2 linked regions of the Coturnix japonica genome follow. The protein of the gene in region 2 purifies or fractionates together with the protein of the main gene of each other region. This does not show direct contact. Links are inferred from orthologs where the notes say so. Each region holds a gene or a part of one and is shown on either strand. Other genes may lie near its edges. The genes, in order: ABITRAM and PUS10.

What was found.
Region 1: the proteins of PUS10 (region 2) and ABITRAM purify together in Homo sapiens (affinity purification with mass spectrometry; 3 studies listed by BioGRID and IntAct, counting the BioPlex papers as one, with this or other methods). This does not show direct contact. The link is inferred for Coturnix japonica from reciprocal best matches to the Homo sapiens genes PUS10 and ABITRAM.

Annotation. Positions count from the first base shown.
Region 1 is NC_029517.1:79,738,819-79,747,416, reverse strand, and holds ABITRAM (protein Abitram), read left to right. Parts: upstream 1-2,915; 5' UTR 2,916-2,945; coding exon 2,946-3,003; intron 3,004-3,078; coding exon 3,079-3,130; intron 3,131-3,320; coding exon 3,321-3,450; intron 3,451-4,523; coding exon 4,524-4,600; intron 4,601-4,689; coding exon 4,690-4,759; intron 4,760-4,827; coding exon 4,828-4,962; 3' UTR 4,963-5,127; downstream 5,128-8,598. Other genes in the region: CTNNAL1 (alpha-catulin), read right to left, coding at 6,150-6,311, 6,402-6,485. UniProt on the Homo sapiens protein: Actin-binding protein that regulates actin polymerization, filopodia dynamics and increases the branching of proximal dendrites of developing neurons.
Region 2 is NC_029518.1:5,441,496-5,450,236, forward strand, and holds the start of PUS10 (putative tRNA pseudouridine synthase Pus10), read left to right. Parts: upstream 1-4,537; 5' UTR 4,538-4,626; coding exon 4,627-4,752; intron 4,753-6,254; coding exon 6,255-6,536; intron 6,537-8,141; coding exon 8,142-8,228; intron 8,229-8,741. Other genes in the region: PEX13 (peroxisome biogenesis factor 13), read right to left, coding at 452-747, 1,322-1,447, 1,880-2,577, 4,311-4,384. UniProt on the Homo sapiens protein: Protein with different functions depending on its subcellular location: involved in miRNA processing in the nucleus and acts as a tRNA pseudouridylate synthase in the cytoplasm.

The sequences.
Region 1 (8,598 bases), on a different chromosome or scaffold from region 2:
AAGTGCTTTACCTTTTTTTTTCCCCCTTTCCCTTTATTCTACACTCCTGCCTTTTGGTTAACCCTCTGTACTTCCTTCAGAAGCGCACCTCTGAGCAAACAGCAGATGGAGGTTGCCAGAAGGGAGTCCTGCAGTTGGTGGTGCAGAGGAACCACACCGTGGTACAACAGCCATCTGCTATGATTTTGTAGCATCTCCTTGATCTGCCATTCTGTGCTACCTCTGCTCGCTGGTTCTCACAGCAGTCTTAGTCTCATGTTCCCAAGACTGAATTAGAAAAGTAATTTATTATCCCACCTGTTGCTTCCCTTTCTTCCCTGCTTATAAACTGTTAGCTCACTTGAACTTGCTCTGAAGAGAAAGTGACTTCAGTTTCTTTCAAACAATCTAAATTCTTATGGCACTTTTGCTCTTACCTGTGTTAGGACTGTTTCCAAGCTGTCATAGTTAAAGCTGTGCCTACAGCCCCACAGCCGATCTTTCTCTTTTCTTCGCTACCCCAAGTACTTGAATGTCATCATCTTTGACTCGTAGTACTGTAGTAGAGACTGTTCGGTCTCTGGCATGTGCACATCACAGCCACCTTCTTCAGAAAAACAAAACAAGTCCTAAAGAACACTCCCATCCCCTCATACCCTCATGTCAAAGCTGAAGCTTCCATGCCTTGACCAGTTGGTGGTGCCTTCTCTACTGACCTCTAACCCGAGTTGTCCCACTCAGTTCAGATCTTAGAACGTGGCCACTCTTCTTTGTCTGGAAGTCTCTTCTTAGCATTGCCAAATTGCAGTCAGATGTACCTGACTTTGGTTGTGCCCTGTTTAAGCAGGTCTCGCCTTTCCTGTGGTGATGGCACCAGTCGTTAGAGCTGATGTGCCCCAGTTCTGGCTGCTGCATTGCTTCTCATGAGCAAGATGTGTTCCCAGGCAGAACGCTTGGCAAGTCTTCTCTCCCCCTTCCCTCTGAGCCTCTCACAGCCCTGTTACATGCACAAACACTGGAATCTCCTGGTGGGTGCTGTAGGGTTTGGGGGCTCTATTGGTTGTCTTTTGCCTTCTGTCCCTCACCCTCAGCCATCAGAGAAACTGAATGCGCTCAGTGCCTTGGTTGTGAGCTATTTCAGACATGGGTGGCTCCTAACTCAGTTTGCTTTGAATTCTTGTGGTTTCTGTTGGCCTAAGGCCTTAATTGCTGAAGTCAGAAGATGACTTCTCTCATCTGTGTGATAGATGAGAGACAGGAAATGGGCACATGGCTGTATCCCCTATGAGATATTTAGATTGGTGACTAAATAAATCTACAGCTTCTGGTCTGTGCTTCCTGTCAGTTGCTGGCTGGCTTGCAATGAGAGAAACTGACATGAAAATATCTGCATATCAAAATACATTACTAATAGATCAACCTGACGAATAAAACTGCCTGCAGCATGTGTGGGAAGGAGGGTGAGATGAGCTGGCAGTGAGTACTTGGGTGGGCTGGGTGCTCCAGCACATTTGTCTTTGGTGGGCAAAGCACTACGTGAGGAAACCAAAGATGCTTCACAACGTGCTGTTGGTAGCAGCAAGGTGACAAAGCTGGCCCATGTTTTCATTGTCAGCCTTTAGTGGAAGCAAAGGTCCTACTTCTTAAAGGTACTTGCGGTGAAACTTCTCGTGCTTTGATAGAAGGATAGAGCAGAGCCTCTAAGCTGCCTTTTATTTTTATGCATTGATGTTTCTGAGCAGCTTGTGGTAATGTGCCTGCCTGCTGTGGCTGATAAAAGAGAGCACCTTTTTTTGTGTCCTTGTTAACTACAGTACAGAGCTGAGTGTTGAATGCAGCTGTATCCGCCTTATGTAGTGCTTGTGCTGACCCTAGGGCAAACAGAGCAAGGAAGGGTGGACTCTGATTTTCATCGTGCCACATTATTCTTAAGCTTTTGGCTTGTGTGTGTATATAACATCAGTCATGTGCTGTCCTTACTTGCAACAAGAGTTCTACTGCACAGATGCCAGTCCTTGCCTAAGTTCTTGACCTGCCTGGGTCAAGCAGCATGGCTGTTCTGTACTGATGGGAGATATTGTGCAAGAGCACAACGAACTGTATTTGTTTAAAAAGCATTCAAGGCTACAGGGTGTAAATCCAAGTAGCTGCTTCTGCTGCACGAATTCAGAGTCGAGCATAATTACAACTTCTGTGGAAAACTAGTTTGTTCTGGTTGCCACAAATAGAAACCATGTTTTCATGCCATGTGTTCTTACTTGAAATGTGATTTCGGTACGTTTAAACAATGGTTATAGCTGCCCTTGTATTGCTGTGTGCTTGATGGAATAAACCACTGAACAAAGAGCTGTTTCTTGTGTTTACTTGGAACCCCACAGCAGTTTGGGTTGGAAAGACCCACCCCGTGCCATGGGCAGGGCTGCCCCCCACCATCTCAGCTGCCCAGGGCCCCATCCAACCTGGCCTTGAGCACCTGTAGGGATGGGGCACCACAGCTTCTCTGGGCTGTGGTGCCTCACTGCCCTCTGGGGAAAGAATTTCCTCCTACCATCTACTCCAAATATCCCTTATTTCACAGCTATTCCCCCTTCTCCTGTCACTATCACACCACGTAGAAAGTCTATTTCCCTCCTGTTTATAAGCTCCCTTTAAGTAGCAGAAGGCTGCAATGATGTCTCCCCACAGCCTCTGCCCTGAACAAGCTCAGTTCCCTCAGCCTGCCTCCATTGCTTCAGCTCCCTGAGCAGAATCGCGCCCTCCTCCGAACCCGCTCCAGCCTTCTTTTGACGTGCTGGGGGCCTGGACTCAGTACTGCAGACGGGCCCTCACAGCCTCAGCTTTTTCTTCCACTTAGGAAAGAGCTTTTAATTACGCGCGATGGCGCCGTGCCTCTACCACAGGGCGCCGCTCCACAGCCCGGTAGGCAGCGCGGGGCGGGGCCGCGCGTGCGCCTTGCGAGGGGCAACATGGCGGCGTGCGAGGCGTTGGGCGCGGCGCGGTACTTCACGCGCTGGTACAAGGCAGGTGCGGCGCGGCCGGGAGGGCGGGATGGAGCGTGTCCGGGGAGTCACCCTTACCCGTGTTTGTGGGCTCTCGCAGACGTGAAGGGGCGGCCGTGCGAGGATTTCTGCGTGCTGCAGCACTCCAACAGGCGAGTTGGCGGGCGGGGACCCGGCGCCCTCTGGTGGCATCGTGCTCCCCGCCTTCCCCCCCCTCAGCTCTGTGTATCGAACGGCGGTGTGAGGGGGGTGGGGGCGATGCCCGCAGCTGAAGCCTGGTTGTAGGTATTAAAACTCTACTGCACCGCTGCGGCACGGTGACTGTCGTTCTTGTTGTTGCAGGATCTGTGTCATCACGTTGGCAGAAGCCCACCCTCTTCTTCAGCATGGGAAAACAATCACAAGTATTAATTACCAAATCAGTCCCAACTGTAGCAGGCTTCAGAATAAGGTCTCTGGGAAGTCCAAAAGGGTACGTAATGTGTATAGCATGCAGAGGGACTTAAACATCCCTTAATAGATCCCTTAACTTGTTTTCAACCAAATGCTAAGGATTTGAGACTTTTTTTTCTAATCACAGACCCCTGGTCTGTGACAGGATGGGGGGAAATGGCCTCAAGTTGCACCAGAGTAAGTTTAAGTTGGATATCAGGAAACACTTCTTTACAGAAAGGGTTGTTAAGCACTGGAATAGGCTCCCCAGGGAGGTGGTTGAGCCACTATCCCTGGATGAGTTTAAAACCATTTGGATGTGGTACTCATGGACATGACTTAGTAGAGGGTTGTTAGGGTACTTTGGTTGGGTTGTGGTTGGACTTGATGATCTTGAAGGTCTTTTCCAACCTGAGCATTTCTATGATTCTATGTAAGTAAGTATAACCGTGGAACCCATAGTCACAGAATCACAGAATCACAGAATGACCTGGGTTGGAAGGGACCTCAAGGATCATGTAGTTCCAACCCCCCTGCCCAGCAGGGCCACCAAACATACACATTTACTAGATCAGGTTGCCCAGAGCCCCGTCCAACCTGGTCTTAAACACCTCCAAGGACGGGGCATCCACAACCTCCCTGGGCAGCCTGTTCCAGGACCTAACCACTCTCCTAGTAAAGAACTTCCCCCTAACATCCAACCTAAATCTTCCCTCTTTTAACTTAAAACCATTTCCCCGTGTCCTGCTATTGTCAGCCCTTTTGAAGAGTTTACTCCCCTCCTGGGTGTAAGTTCCCTTCAGGTACTGAAAGGCTGCAATGAGGTCACCCCGCAACATTCTCTTCTCCAGGCTGAACAAACCCAACTCCCTCAGCCTGTCCTCATAGGGGAGGTGCTCCAGCCCCCTGATCATCTTCGTGGCCCTCCTCTGGACCCTTTCCAAAATCTCCATATGTTTTTTGTACTGAGGGCTCCACACCTGGAGCTGTAGCTATCACACCTCCTTGCTTTGTTCTGTAACAGCTTGTGATGTTGCTGATGTTTATGAAACTATAAGAAGAGCCGTAATTAACTGTAATTAAGAACATGTATGTATTTTTTTCCCCATTCAGGGAGCTCAGTTTTTAACAGAACTTGCCCCGCTCTGCAGGATCGCTTCATCAGATGGAGAAGAATATACCATTTACAGGTAGGGAATACACCGTTTACAGGTAAAGATTTGCACACCCCCACCCTGACACACTGTGCACTTATTACTGAGTTTGAACACTTCTGCAGTTGCATACGAGGGCGACTGATAGAAGTGAATGAAAACATTCTTAGCAACCCAGCACTTCTGCAAGAAAAGGTGAGAAGCTTTTTAGCTTTTAGCCTTTATTTTACTACTTCAGTGCTAACATTGTTCCTCCATTGTAGCCGTCAACCGAGGGATACATAGCAGTGGTTCTACCCAAATTCGAAGAGAGCAAGAGCGTAACTCAGGGGCTCCTGACACCAGAAGAATACAAGGAGGTTTTATCGAAACGTCAGAATTCTTCTTCAGGAAGTTAATGATACAGGCAGCAGCTATGTTTGATGCTAAATAAGCTGCTTGTACCCAGCAGCTTTCATTGCATTGAAAGGGCTGCATTTATAAAAGTGGAACTTCACGTATTTGTTTTATTCTTGTATGAAATGGGGAAAAATAGTTTGTATATTAAAATCTGTTTTCTCTCAGTCGTAGTACGACATGTTTTTACATACGCACAGATTGATTTTGGAGAGTGGTTGTGTTCCAGGGACCTCTTTGCTCTTGGCTCAACGCAAACATAATACACAGAGAAAAAGCACAATTGAGCTGTCGGGTAATTTAGCCAAACTAATACAACGTGGGGTTTGACAGCAGTGAATTGAAAACAAAATGCAATAGGAGCCTGCCTATGATGAACAGATAACCTTGAAAGCAAGCATTTCACATCAGGTTACGTTTCCTAGCACCCTGAAGTCAAATAATGCCCTTTTTACAGACGTTTCTCATAATCAGTATTTACTTCAATGTTAAATGCTGTAAAGTCTACATGTAATACTTCAGTGGTTCTACATGCAATTCAAATCCTGCTCAGTACAGTTTAATCATAAAGGAAGCAACAACTGCCATCTACAGACAGAGACAGTGAAGGAGAAAGGCTTTGAGTCAAAAGTGTTAATCGCTTAGAAGTACACTTTGGAAATAGGAATAATGCCAACCAAACTAAGATTCAGCGCCAAGCTCTCGCAAGAGTGTTTTTTCTTAGGACTGAACTTCATTGTAGGTATAACTAACCTTAATTTCAGTGCTTTAGGCCACAGTGTTTCAGTCTACATTCCTGAATGGGCTTTATAAATCCATAGACTGAAATGGGCCAGAGAGGAGTTTACAAACGTCAGCAGTAGTGTTACATAGAGCACAGGGTTCTTTGTGTGAAGGGTCTGTTAGCAGCATCTTTGGGTTGAAACATCCATTAAGACATTCGTAAGCATGAATTACAAAACCAGTATCAATAGGGAGCGTAGGAAATTCACATTATGAAAATACATAATGATTACACTAGTTGGTGCTGTCATCGTTAAGTAACAGGACATCTATTAGATGTGACAAAGGTCAACAGGTTTAATTCAAATTAACCTGGGTTGACTTTCCACAAATGAAAGCAAAACTGAGAAACTTCAGCAAGTGTTATTTTCCCTAATGGAGCTTCTGCAATTTCTAAGTGCTGTAATTACTTGCTCTCTAAAAATGTCATTTTAGCCACGTGATTTTCCAAAGACTTGATACCAAACATCTCCACTCTTCTTTCTGGTGCGTGTGTGTTCATACCGCTTCGTGTTCTGCCTTCTCTCCATGGGGGGGCAGGTTTGAGATAGCCGTTCCCTGCTTTATTCTGTGTACAAAGACGACGTAGTGTAAAAAGCAAGCAAAAATATGCAACAACAAACAAAAAAAACCCAACTTTTAAGTACCAGATACTCACCTTTCTCATTAACTTGCTGCAAACTGGAAGCAGTTGACATAACAGAGTCATCACGTTCCTCGTTTTCTGAATGCATGCATCAACCTATAGAAGGCAATTAAGACAGGCCACTGATTGCCACCGTTAGGCAATGTGAGATGAAAACCTATTTTGAGCTTGAAATGTATACGAAGGACAAGCAAATCCAATCTTTTCTAGTCTGAAGGTTTTGCCCATCCTGTTCAGCTTCCTGCAGTGTTCATAATGTACATCATCCCTTCTCTTAAACAAAGGCAGCGGCTGTGAAGGAGAAGAGAATGATGCACATCCCAGGAGAGGGAGCTAAAAATGATATTAAAGGAGTAAGTGTGTGCCCCGGTGGTGCAGTGGTTAAGGATGCCGCCTTGCAACACTGGGGCCCGGAGTTCGAATCCCCCCTGTGGCGCAAGTGGTAGAAGTGCCTCTCTGCTACACAGAGGCTCGAATCCCGGGGGTTGGACTCGATGATCTCTAAGGTCCCTTCCAACCCGTACGAGACTGTGATACTATGATAAGGTATGTGTCTCAGAAATGAGCCCTCACCGTTGTTATCATGGTAATAGTGCAACTACGTAAAAGCTGACGTATAACAAATAAGTAATAGAATAAATTCTAGGCAGCTTAGGATGGACTCTACCTTTGGAGAAGCAACGTGCATTTTAATAACAGAGTATTAAGGGATTGGAATTTATGTTTATCTAAAGCATCAATTACAAGACAATAGCTAATTATGACAACGGTAGTACAGATTACCTTCATTAATACACTTTGAGCACTGGAGTCTTTTCTTAGCAAGTTACACTTAACTACAGCTCATATTTCTTTAAATAAAGTTCTGTGTGTTACAGTAAAATAAATACCATCTCTCACTGAGCTGAGAATCCCCAGCTGCACCATAACAGATAGTAGGTAAGCTGAAGAAAACATTGGTGTAAGTTCCTTGACATAAGTCTCCAGCAGAAAAAGGTCATGTACAGTAATGGCACCCCACAGACATCTAGGAGCATCGGTATCTTGGGAAACATTTCTAACTCACAACCAAAATCATAGAATCATAGAATTACCCAGGTTGGAAAAGACCTTGAAGATCATCAAGTCCAACCACAGCCTAACCATAGTGCCCTAACTCTAAAAACCCTACACTAAGTCATATCCCTAAGTACCACATCCAAACGGCTCTTAAACACAACCAGGGATGGCGATTCAACCACCTCCCTGGGGAGCCTATTCCAGTACTTAACTACCCTTTCTGTAAAGAAGTTCTTCCTAATATCCAACCTAAACTTGCCCTGGTGCAACTTGAGGCCATTTCCCCTCGTCCTGTCACTTGTCACTAATGAGAAGAGACCTGCCCCACTCTCACTGTAAACTTTGGTAATTTTAGGAACAGAAAGGAACAGATCTGTCCTAAATCCTGTTACACACTGATTGCCCAGCTCACATGATCTCTTAAGGTCCCTTCCAAACCACATCAGACTGTGATACTGTGATACTGTGATAATCTACTGGTAGGGAAAAACATTCATATTAATGATATGTCTGTGGCCAGTGGGCTAATTATGTAATAACAGATATCCATGCTCCCTAAAGAAAATAGTCATGAAGGCCTGAATAGTAATGCTGCTCAAACTATCCACCTGCATACTTCCACGTACGCTGGGTGCCAATTTGTCATATTTTGCCTCTCTTCCAACTCTCAGCATGAATAAAATGGGGTGAGGATAAACTTCCTTCAAGCCCTCCTCTGCTAATGGGAATAAAAGAGTCCAGAAAAGAATTGCAGCAGGGCTGAAGAACATCATTTCCTGACACAGATTTCTGCAGTGAGTGGCTGGGGTTACAGCTACCAGTAAGATGAGAGAAAACATTCTCATTAGGAGGAACAGTCCTTACTGTTCTTCCTCTATACTTTGCCCACTGGCTTCTCAAAAGATGTGAAGAGCAAAACAGTACTTCAACTTGAAGTGAATTCCTCTTCCTCATAAGGAACAGCAACAACAAAGTATTGCATAGCAGAAAAACTTAAATGCTTCCACAACATCATACGATTTTGTACTCCACTTTTACCTCCTTCTGCCAATCCAAGAAGTTCATCTATTTCGTATTTTATCAGGACCACAAACGAGTAAGTTACTGTATTTCAAAAGCAGCTGGGTTTTATTTTCAGGGATATGTACGT
Region 2 (8,741 bases):
GGGAAACAAAGTACTGTTATCAGTATTTTCCTCAGCCTCCAGTTCCGGACAACTTCTCACAGAAATTTACTTTTCCTTTGCACATCAGCTGAAGTGGCATCTTGTCAAGTGACATTCCAATGAAGACTGAACACTGATTTCTAGATTTTATCAACAGTTTGTCTACTTAATGAAAACAGGCCCGCCCTTATTTCCTTGTTTGTTTGCTTTGTTATAAACACCTCATTCCTTTTGGCTCTAGATCTTATAGCTGCTGCAAGGTAGTTAGGTAGCCACTAATACACAGCCTTAAGTGAATAAAAAAGAAATCATACAAATTTGAGCAAGAATTTCTCCATCCTTTCACCAGTCTGGTACAGGCCTATCAGTGTTCTACTACAACACAGATTTTAAACATACCCTAAGTTTTATCAATAAAACACCATTCAGTTACTTTGTTGAGGAAAGTGCATTAGAGTTCCTGTTTCTCTCCACTAACTGCAGTGGAATCGGATGCAACAGGAACTTTATTACTTCCTACAAAAACAGAATCAAAAGCAGCTTCCTGTTCCTCTAAAGTCACAGCAGCAGTGGACCCTCTAGCAGACATCCCAGTGAGGGACGGACGTTGCTCTGTAATCCTTTCCAGGTCCGCTGCTTTCCTGCCTCTTCTTTTGCCCAGTATTCTGATATAATTAGCTGGTACAAGTCCTGTTGTTTGACCATCATAACTAGCCAAAAGCCAGCCACGGATTTTGGGTTGTTGGTCTAAAAAAAGAAAATGCAAAAGCATTAAGTTACCAAGCAATTCAAAATATACTGCAGTTGAGGCACAAATACATGAGGAGGCTGAGCACAGCTAATCACACAGAGAAAATAACTCTGTGATAAAAGGGAAACACGAATTATTACACAAGAGAAATGATGAGGATCTGCATTGATGTGATGTTCTGAAGTGTGCTGTGAAGCTGAAAGTGTTGACACCACCATACTGCCATTTCCATAAGGATTTTCACAGTTATATAGCAAATATGAAAAAAGGATAGCCACAAAGGGAACTACAAAGTACTTCCAGAGTAACTTTAGGCTGTGTCATACTTTAGGGAAATTGAACAAAACTATTTAATAAGTTTTATTACAGTGCACGTAATAACAAGTGAAAAAAATATAAATCAGTAGGTATGAAAACTTGGGTCAAAATGTGTTTTGTTTTTGCATTCTTACTTTTTCCCCCTGCTCCTTTTCCCCCTTCCCCCCCCCCGAAAAACACACAATTTCAGAATCAAACTACACAACTTATTTCACATATGATTAGAAAACAAACTGAAAATTGAAAGCTTACCTTTGGGTGCTAATCTTAGAATGTCACCAGCACGGAAGGAAATTTCCTCTTCTGAGAGCGCACTGAAGTCATATTCTGCTCTTCCAACTACATGATCATCTTCTCCACTTGCCCAGTTACTAGAAACTGTTTCCGAAAAGAAATTAAGAATTTACTTGCTTTGAATTTAATAGATGAGATTTTTGGTTTGTCTGTTTTTGGTTTTTAAACCAAAGAGAAGACACCTTAATTTCTTTGCTTCTCTAACAGAGAACTGATGGGACTAACAAAGACAACATTTGGTGAGTCAACCAATAGCTTTTCCTTCTTCTCCACCTGCCACATTTAATAGAAAGGAATCACAAATTTGGAGTCATATAAAGTGTACCATGAAACTGAATCTCAGATCAACACTAAGCTATTTATACTTGTACCACATGCTTAAAATTCAGTGTTGTACCCCAGAATCTACACACTTCCATTACCCAAGTCTAGGTTTAATCTCTATACACGTGATAACTAAATGAACAATATACTCTATACTTTTCATGATTCTCTCATGCTGCAGATCATCTTTACCTGATTCTTCATCACTGTATGTAGAAAGGAGTTTCCAAATCAGATAGGGACCTCCCATAATAACAGCAAAGAACAAAAAAATAGGCCAGGATTTTGCCGAGTTAGCTGCCTTGTCTTCAAGACCAACACGAGCTACTGTCCCCTGACTTTCAGCCCACAGATCCTCATTCTCAGAGCTCTTCCGCAGACCCAGTAATCGTTGTAGACGCTGGTAGAGATATCTTATAGTTCTCACTAAAGCAAATGCTGAAAACACCTTTGTGAAGTGTACTTTGAGGCGGGAGAAGTGATTGGCTACATCCAACACAGCTCTGAAACTGTTGTACACAGCTGAAAAGGTAGCATCCATCATCATGCTGACTGAGGCAAACGCATGCACAATACTTTCAATGGACTGAAATGCACCTCTGCTGCTCTCTTCAGCCTGTTGAACAAACCTGCTGGGAGGAATATCATCTGTACGAAAGCGGTTATAGCCCAAGCCACCATATCCATAACTGTAAGGGCTGTAGCTTCCATAAAAAGAAGTTCCATATGAACCATAGCCTGTAGTAAAAGAACTGCTATATGCTGGCCTTAAAGTACTGAGACTACTGCTTCCTGTTTGCTGTGATGGTCTCGGCAAAATAGGTGGAGGTATTCGTGCAACTGTGGGTTGTCCAGGTCTGGTCAGCAAGTTGTCACCCAAGTCAGGAGACCTAAACAGATTCAGACAACCAAGATCAGTACTCAAAATGTGGTTATGTTTTCATTTTCTCCAGCATTATTCAATAGCTATCAATATGACCCTGCGCTTTGCTAGTGCCAGGTTGTGGAATCTGGTTACCAAACATTCATACTGTCGCACAGTGTTAGTGAGAATTAAAAATTTCTGTCAAGAAATACAAATCTTTCATTAAAAAAAAAAAGAAATGTTCAATGCAAATGTAGAATTGCAGCATATCTGAAACATATAAGAGCTGTTTTTCTTGTACAGACCAAAAGCACAAAATGCTAAGGCTAGACCCATCCAATCTGATGCTGATTCAACTCCTAAGTCATTCGCCTGTGCAAAAGGGCATCTCATACACACTACCAAGAATATTTTGCAATTTGAAAGCTTTAATTCCAACATTTGTTCTTGTTTCTTCTAGATAATGAGCCAATGGTACAGCAAGAAGGAAGCTAGACAGCTCCTCTGAAGTCACCCTTGGAGAACCGACTGGTGGGACCTAACAAAATTCAAATGATAACAGCACACACAACAGCCTAGGGCTCCCTGCTTCCCCCTACTGAACTGGGACTGAATCTAAGACTGTTAACAGCTGGCAGAAAGAGCTACTATGAGCTCATTTACTTTTTTAAAAAAAATAATAATAAATTTCTAGCTCTTGGCATGCCTGTAAGTTTCAGCCGGTTTACCTACATCCTTTGTAATAGGTCTGTGCAAGTACTTGGCATCTGAATTCTATCAAGTAGCTGTCCATCTTCTGCTGTTTTCCATACTGAAGCAATCTGCTGTACCACTTACACATGCGATAGGGAACAACTTTCCCCACAGCAAAACTTACAGGTTTACCTAAAGCGAAGTATAATATTTACATCTTTACACTGTTTGTTTCTTCCAGCCTAGACTGTCACAGTTAAAAGCAGAAGTAAAAATAAGGTACTACCACAGAAGTTGGGGGCACCCTCCCACAAACCAGATTAGGACAACTCAATTTTTAGATACCTGGAGTAAATTAAAATGAACTAGATAACCTCACCAAGAAAACTTAACATCAAACCTCCTGCTCAGCAAGCTTCAGCCTGCAGTGAAAGCATAGTTCTTCCTGAAAGTTCAGTTTGGAGGTAACCTTTTGCCCAGTTTCAGCTCACCCTAATTGCAATCAACAGCACCAAGTGGAAAACAAGACTCATCTTCAGCCATCATCTTTCCTTGGCTTCTGATTAAAATTCATTTGACAACTCTTTCTGCACAGCATCCTTCCCAGTGAAGTACACTCTGTCTTCTGCAGGAGCAGAGCCTCAGGTCAACAAATACACATTCATCTTTTCCACTGCCAGGATCAACCACACACAGCCCCACTCCCACGGGGAGCACATACTCCGTGGCTCTGCAACCCTCACGTACGAACGACAGCGTTTTTTCCACTTGTGGCAACACACCCAGCCCTGCTAACACGTCAACCTCCACCTCGTTAAACCCTCGACTTTCCGTAGACTGGCTCTGAGCCCACAGAACCCGCTGACGAAGATCCACAGGAGGTTCCCCCCACTCTTCTATACACCTCCCCAAGAAGCGGAGTGAACCCGCGCACAACCCGCCCCTCAGCTCCCAGGCCCGGCCAAGGCGCCGCGCCGACGGGCTAGGCCCGACCTTTGAGCCCGGCCGCCCGCAGGGCCGACCCCGCGGTGCGCGGAGAGGCCCGTGCGAGGGGCACACACTCACTGGAAGGCGGGCGCCACGCTGCCCACTAACCGCCGGTTCTCCCAGGGCTTGGGAGGCGGCGGCTGCGAAGCCATCCCCGCCTCGCTGCAGCCCCGTTCGAGCCCCGGCCCGCTCCGGCCCGCCGCGCTCCTCCGCCCGCCCCCGGCAGGCGGGACGCCGCAGCGCCGAGCGATCGAGCCGGCGGCCTTCCGGGCACCGCGCTACGTGCTCCGCCCTGCGCTCTATCGACGCGCTCCGCCCCGCGCCGCGCTGGGTTTGATGCTCCTGTGCTCAGTGCGGCCTATATTTAGTACTGTGATTATTAGTGTTGTCCAGCATGTCTTCTCTAACAGAAAAGGACAGGCCGATTGTTCAGCTGTTACTGGGTGCTGGCACATGCCCACGATGTATTTTCAGGTTCTGCCGTGTGGGATCACAGACGCTTTATAGGCATCCATACAAGGTTTGTTCTTTGTATTTCTGATTAGAACATGTGGCCGTATGAATGCAGTATCGTGCTGTACACTACTTGGAGGAGAAGGATGTTGTTTGTATTCTTGGACATTGCCTGTTGGGAAAGCTCTGTGCAAGTGTGAGAAATTACAGTAGTGCTGTGGTATAAGAATTCCCGTCAGTTTGGTGTTAGGTTCGTTAAGTTGCTGTGTATTCCCAGGAAAACTCTGTAAACAGGACAGAGCAACTTCTGCACAGCTCTATCACTCAAGCAGTGTATCCCCGACAGTTCCCTCCTTCGTTTTTCCTTTAACACAGTAAGTCACAAAGGGGCTGTGGGTCACGGCAGCTGATTGGGGGCTTTCTCTTCTTGCCTCAAATTCCTTCCGTCTTCCAGCAGCATTGGCTGAGGGATGTAGCTGAAGAATGGCGCAGTTGATGCTCCGCTGTCATTCCAGCAGTGTTATTAGGCACCCTATTTAGCTGACCTTCCCGCTGAAATTCAGCATTCTGAATTGTTTTCCCAGTTGTGCACCGTCAGCCTTCCTGTGTCTTTGTATTATGTGCTTCTCAAATTGTTTTTGGCTACTTGCTCCTTCACCACGTTGATTCATAGAGTTCTCATTATGTAGGCCTATTATTTCCGTGTATCTGCCCTAATGATGTCTTTATGCTTGTGTGTTACGGTGTTTGCCTTGATTATTTCACTTTCACTCAAGTTTAGACTCTCCAGAATTCTTCTTTCACGTCTTTCTTCCTAATCCTGTTTCATTTTTAATCAATCTGTTGAGAAGTGTTTGTTCTGTGTGCCATTTATCATGCTTTTGCAGCTCTATCCAATTTTCATCTGAGTTGCGACAGTAAATGCTGTTATTGAAGATGTCTTAATAAATCCTTATTTTTTTTTCTGACCCAAGTGTTACCTCTACCTTTCATCCTTCCTAAATTTCAGATATATGGTTAATTCTCTCTCCTCACCAGCACATTCATTAATATTCATAAGCTTCTCATTACATGAATGAATGAGACGTACTTTGTCGTGTGTTTAATTTCACTATTGCATTTATCTGCTCTAATTTTCTTCTCATACTGTGGTAGCCAGCTGTCTTCGTTGTGTGGGCTGTCAGTGTTGGAGGATTAAATTCTTAGGTAAGAAATGGCAAAAAGGCAGTAGACACATATTTTCCTTGAACAGTGACAAGGCTGAAGATAAATGCATTTCTGCAAGTTGGTCTTTAAAATGTTTCCAGTGTTCTTGGAAAGTAAAGAAGTCTGTTAAGCAAAAAAAGTTTTGTTGGGGTGGTAACGTTTTGACAGAAGTACAGATTGGAGCTTTTGTTTTTTATTGTGCGAGTGTCTTTTTGGTATCTTTACAAGTTGCTAATTACATACACAAAGACTAAAGCTACAGGTGGTTTCTTCTGCTTTTTAAACCTGTGTTTGTAAGTGCTTTTTACAGCACTGAATTCGAGAGGAAAAGTCAACAAAGTAAAATCCCACTGTTTGTGTTAGGATTTGATGAAGGATTTGAAACAATTCCTGAACGGTAATCAAGAAAAAGAAGATACAACTTGCTTTGATGTAGCTGATCCACCTTGTAAGCGATTCAGACTTGGACATGCAGAAGGAGGGCCTGAAGATCTGAACCAGAATGGAGCGCTCAGTCAGATTTCTTTGGTTAATGATGATAATGCTGCTGTGCAGAACTCAGCTGCGGAGAACTCAGCTGCAGAAGTTTGCAATGTCTGTTTGGGAATTCTTCAGGAGTTCTGCGAGGCTGACTTTGTTAAAAAGGTAAATAATCTTAATCTACAAGTATATTTTTTAGGAGCTTTTGTATGTTAGGGCCTGCAGTATAGATCTGGTGATTTAGAAACACTGTACAGTTAAACAATTGACAGAGAGAGCAAATCAAACCGAAACATTTTCTTGTGTTGAATATTTGAGTTGTAGATGGTGCCATTCAGCTACATACAGCTCACTGACACAGTATTTGCGTACCTGTTTTGCAGCTGGGAAATAAAATGCGTGACCATGTTTTGTCCAAGGTTTGTTATAATGTAACTTTGAAAGAAAGGTATAGGTGCAGTGGAATAACAGGAATGTATTTTTGTAATCAGGTTAATGAAACTTCACTATAAACCAATCTCTCTCCTCTTTTAGCTGTGTAAGGGCAATATGAGGAGTCATCAAATGCTGTGCTGTTTAGTTTAACTGTCTGTTTCTAACACAGGAGTGTTTCTTTACTATATAGCACTATTTAGAAACCCACAAAGGAAAAATGTATTTGGTGGTACAGCATTGCAGATAATGAAGAAAAAAGGAGTTAAGAGAGAGTATGAACATAATGCGTGTTGCAGATGTCATCTCTGAGCAATACAGTTGCTTATGTGACAAACCAAAATATTAGCTAAAAATTCCAATTGCATTTGAGATGTTTGACAGAGCTTTAATAGAAACAAATTTGGTTTAACAACATTAATAACTAGGGCTAAGAGAGCATACTACATAGATTCTGTTGAACTATTGGATGCTTCTTTCTTTTTTGTCTCCGTTGAGAGAGTACATATACTTTTCATTGAACCTACTTTTAAGACTTGTTTCAGAGTTACACTCTTTTGTGACAGTGGAAAATCTTACAACTTGCTCTTGTGCACAGGCACATTTATTAAGGCACCACAACATCTGATTCTCTTACAAGGAAATTTCCTTATCAAAGATGTGGATTTCATCCTGAAAGCTCAAAATTAGTCTTTGTTCCTTCTAGTAGAGACATCTAGCCATCAGCTTTCACTAGTTTACTTTAAGACATTTGATGCATGTTTGGGTTCTTGCTATCATTCCAGTGACTAACATGATTCTTATATCAAAGTAAAGTAGACGTTTAGATGATGTCCCTGCTTATTTGTAATAGCTGTATACTTATCCTGAGAAAATTCTATCATAAACTGAAAGATGAAATGTCCCATTGTCTTTGAATTATTACTGTGAATAGCTTTTTGTTCCTGTATTATGACAGGAACTTAAAAAGTTTTTATTGTCATAGAATTGTGTCTGTGCCATGAAGAAAAATATTCTGAGTCAGCTCTTCCAGCATGTGGTCTCTGTGGTGTAATTTCCTGCATCAACATTTGTGTATATGATTTTAGCCTTAAAAGAACGAGCTTTCTTATTTCATAATGTCACACACCAAATAAGAATAGAGGTCATTAGTAAGAACTTTTTACAGGCTTGTATTTCAATAAGTTGTTAGGAGTTAGTCAAGAACGTATGTTTGGCATTTGTCTGAATGTGTACTAATATAGATTTACAGTGATTATGATAGAATAAAGAATATCCTAAAAAATTATCAACTTGGTTCCATTGTTGTAGTTCAATATTAATACTCTTATTTTCCAGATGTGTGAAAAGGTTAATTCTTCTGACTACCAGTTCACCAGTTTTGTATTTTCTCTGTCACTACCACCACAGCTGTCTGTTAGGGAGGTAAGTTTTTGCAGATATTCCTTCATAAATTGAACGTTTATTAAGGAAGGTAACTGTGGAAGGTACAGACTAGAGACAGTCTGATTTTTAATTGCTATTATTCAAAACAAACAAACAAAAAAACCTCAAAACTTGCTACAAGTGTAGTCTGCTCTCCCTTTCCTTTTTGCTAAGTACTGTTATAATTAATAAGGTGTCTGAGTCACTTCAGTTTTCATTTAGCCTCGGAGTTATTTTACATCTGAAAAAGTAAAAGAGGATCTTTTCAGAGAAGGAACAGCACAGCTGGTACCATTCCTGAAATAAATGATAATTGGTAGTTCAGAGTAGAAATGAAGAAGTTTGAAGATAAGCTCTTTAACTTCGTAGCATTTTGGATGCTGTAAAAATATATATTTTGGTAGTCACCTGTCTTGAGCATTGTTGATAGTCTGTATTTTTATATTTGTTGTAGTCGTAAAACTACTACTTTGATAGCAATTCTTGTCTTAAATTGTTAAGAATTGTTAACTT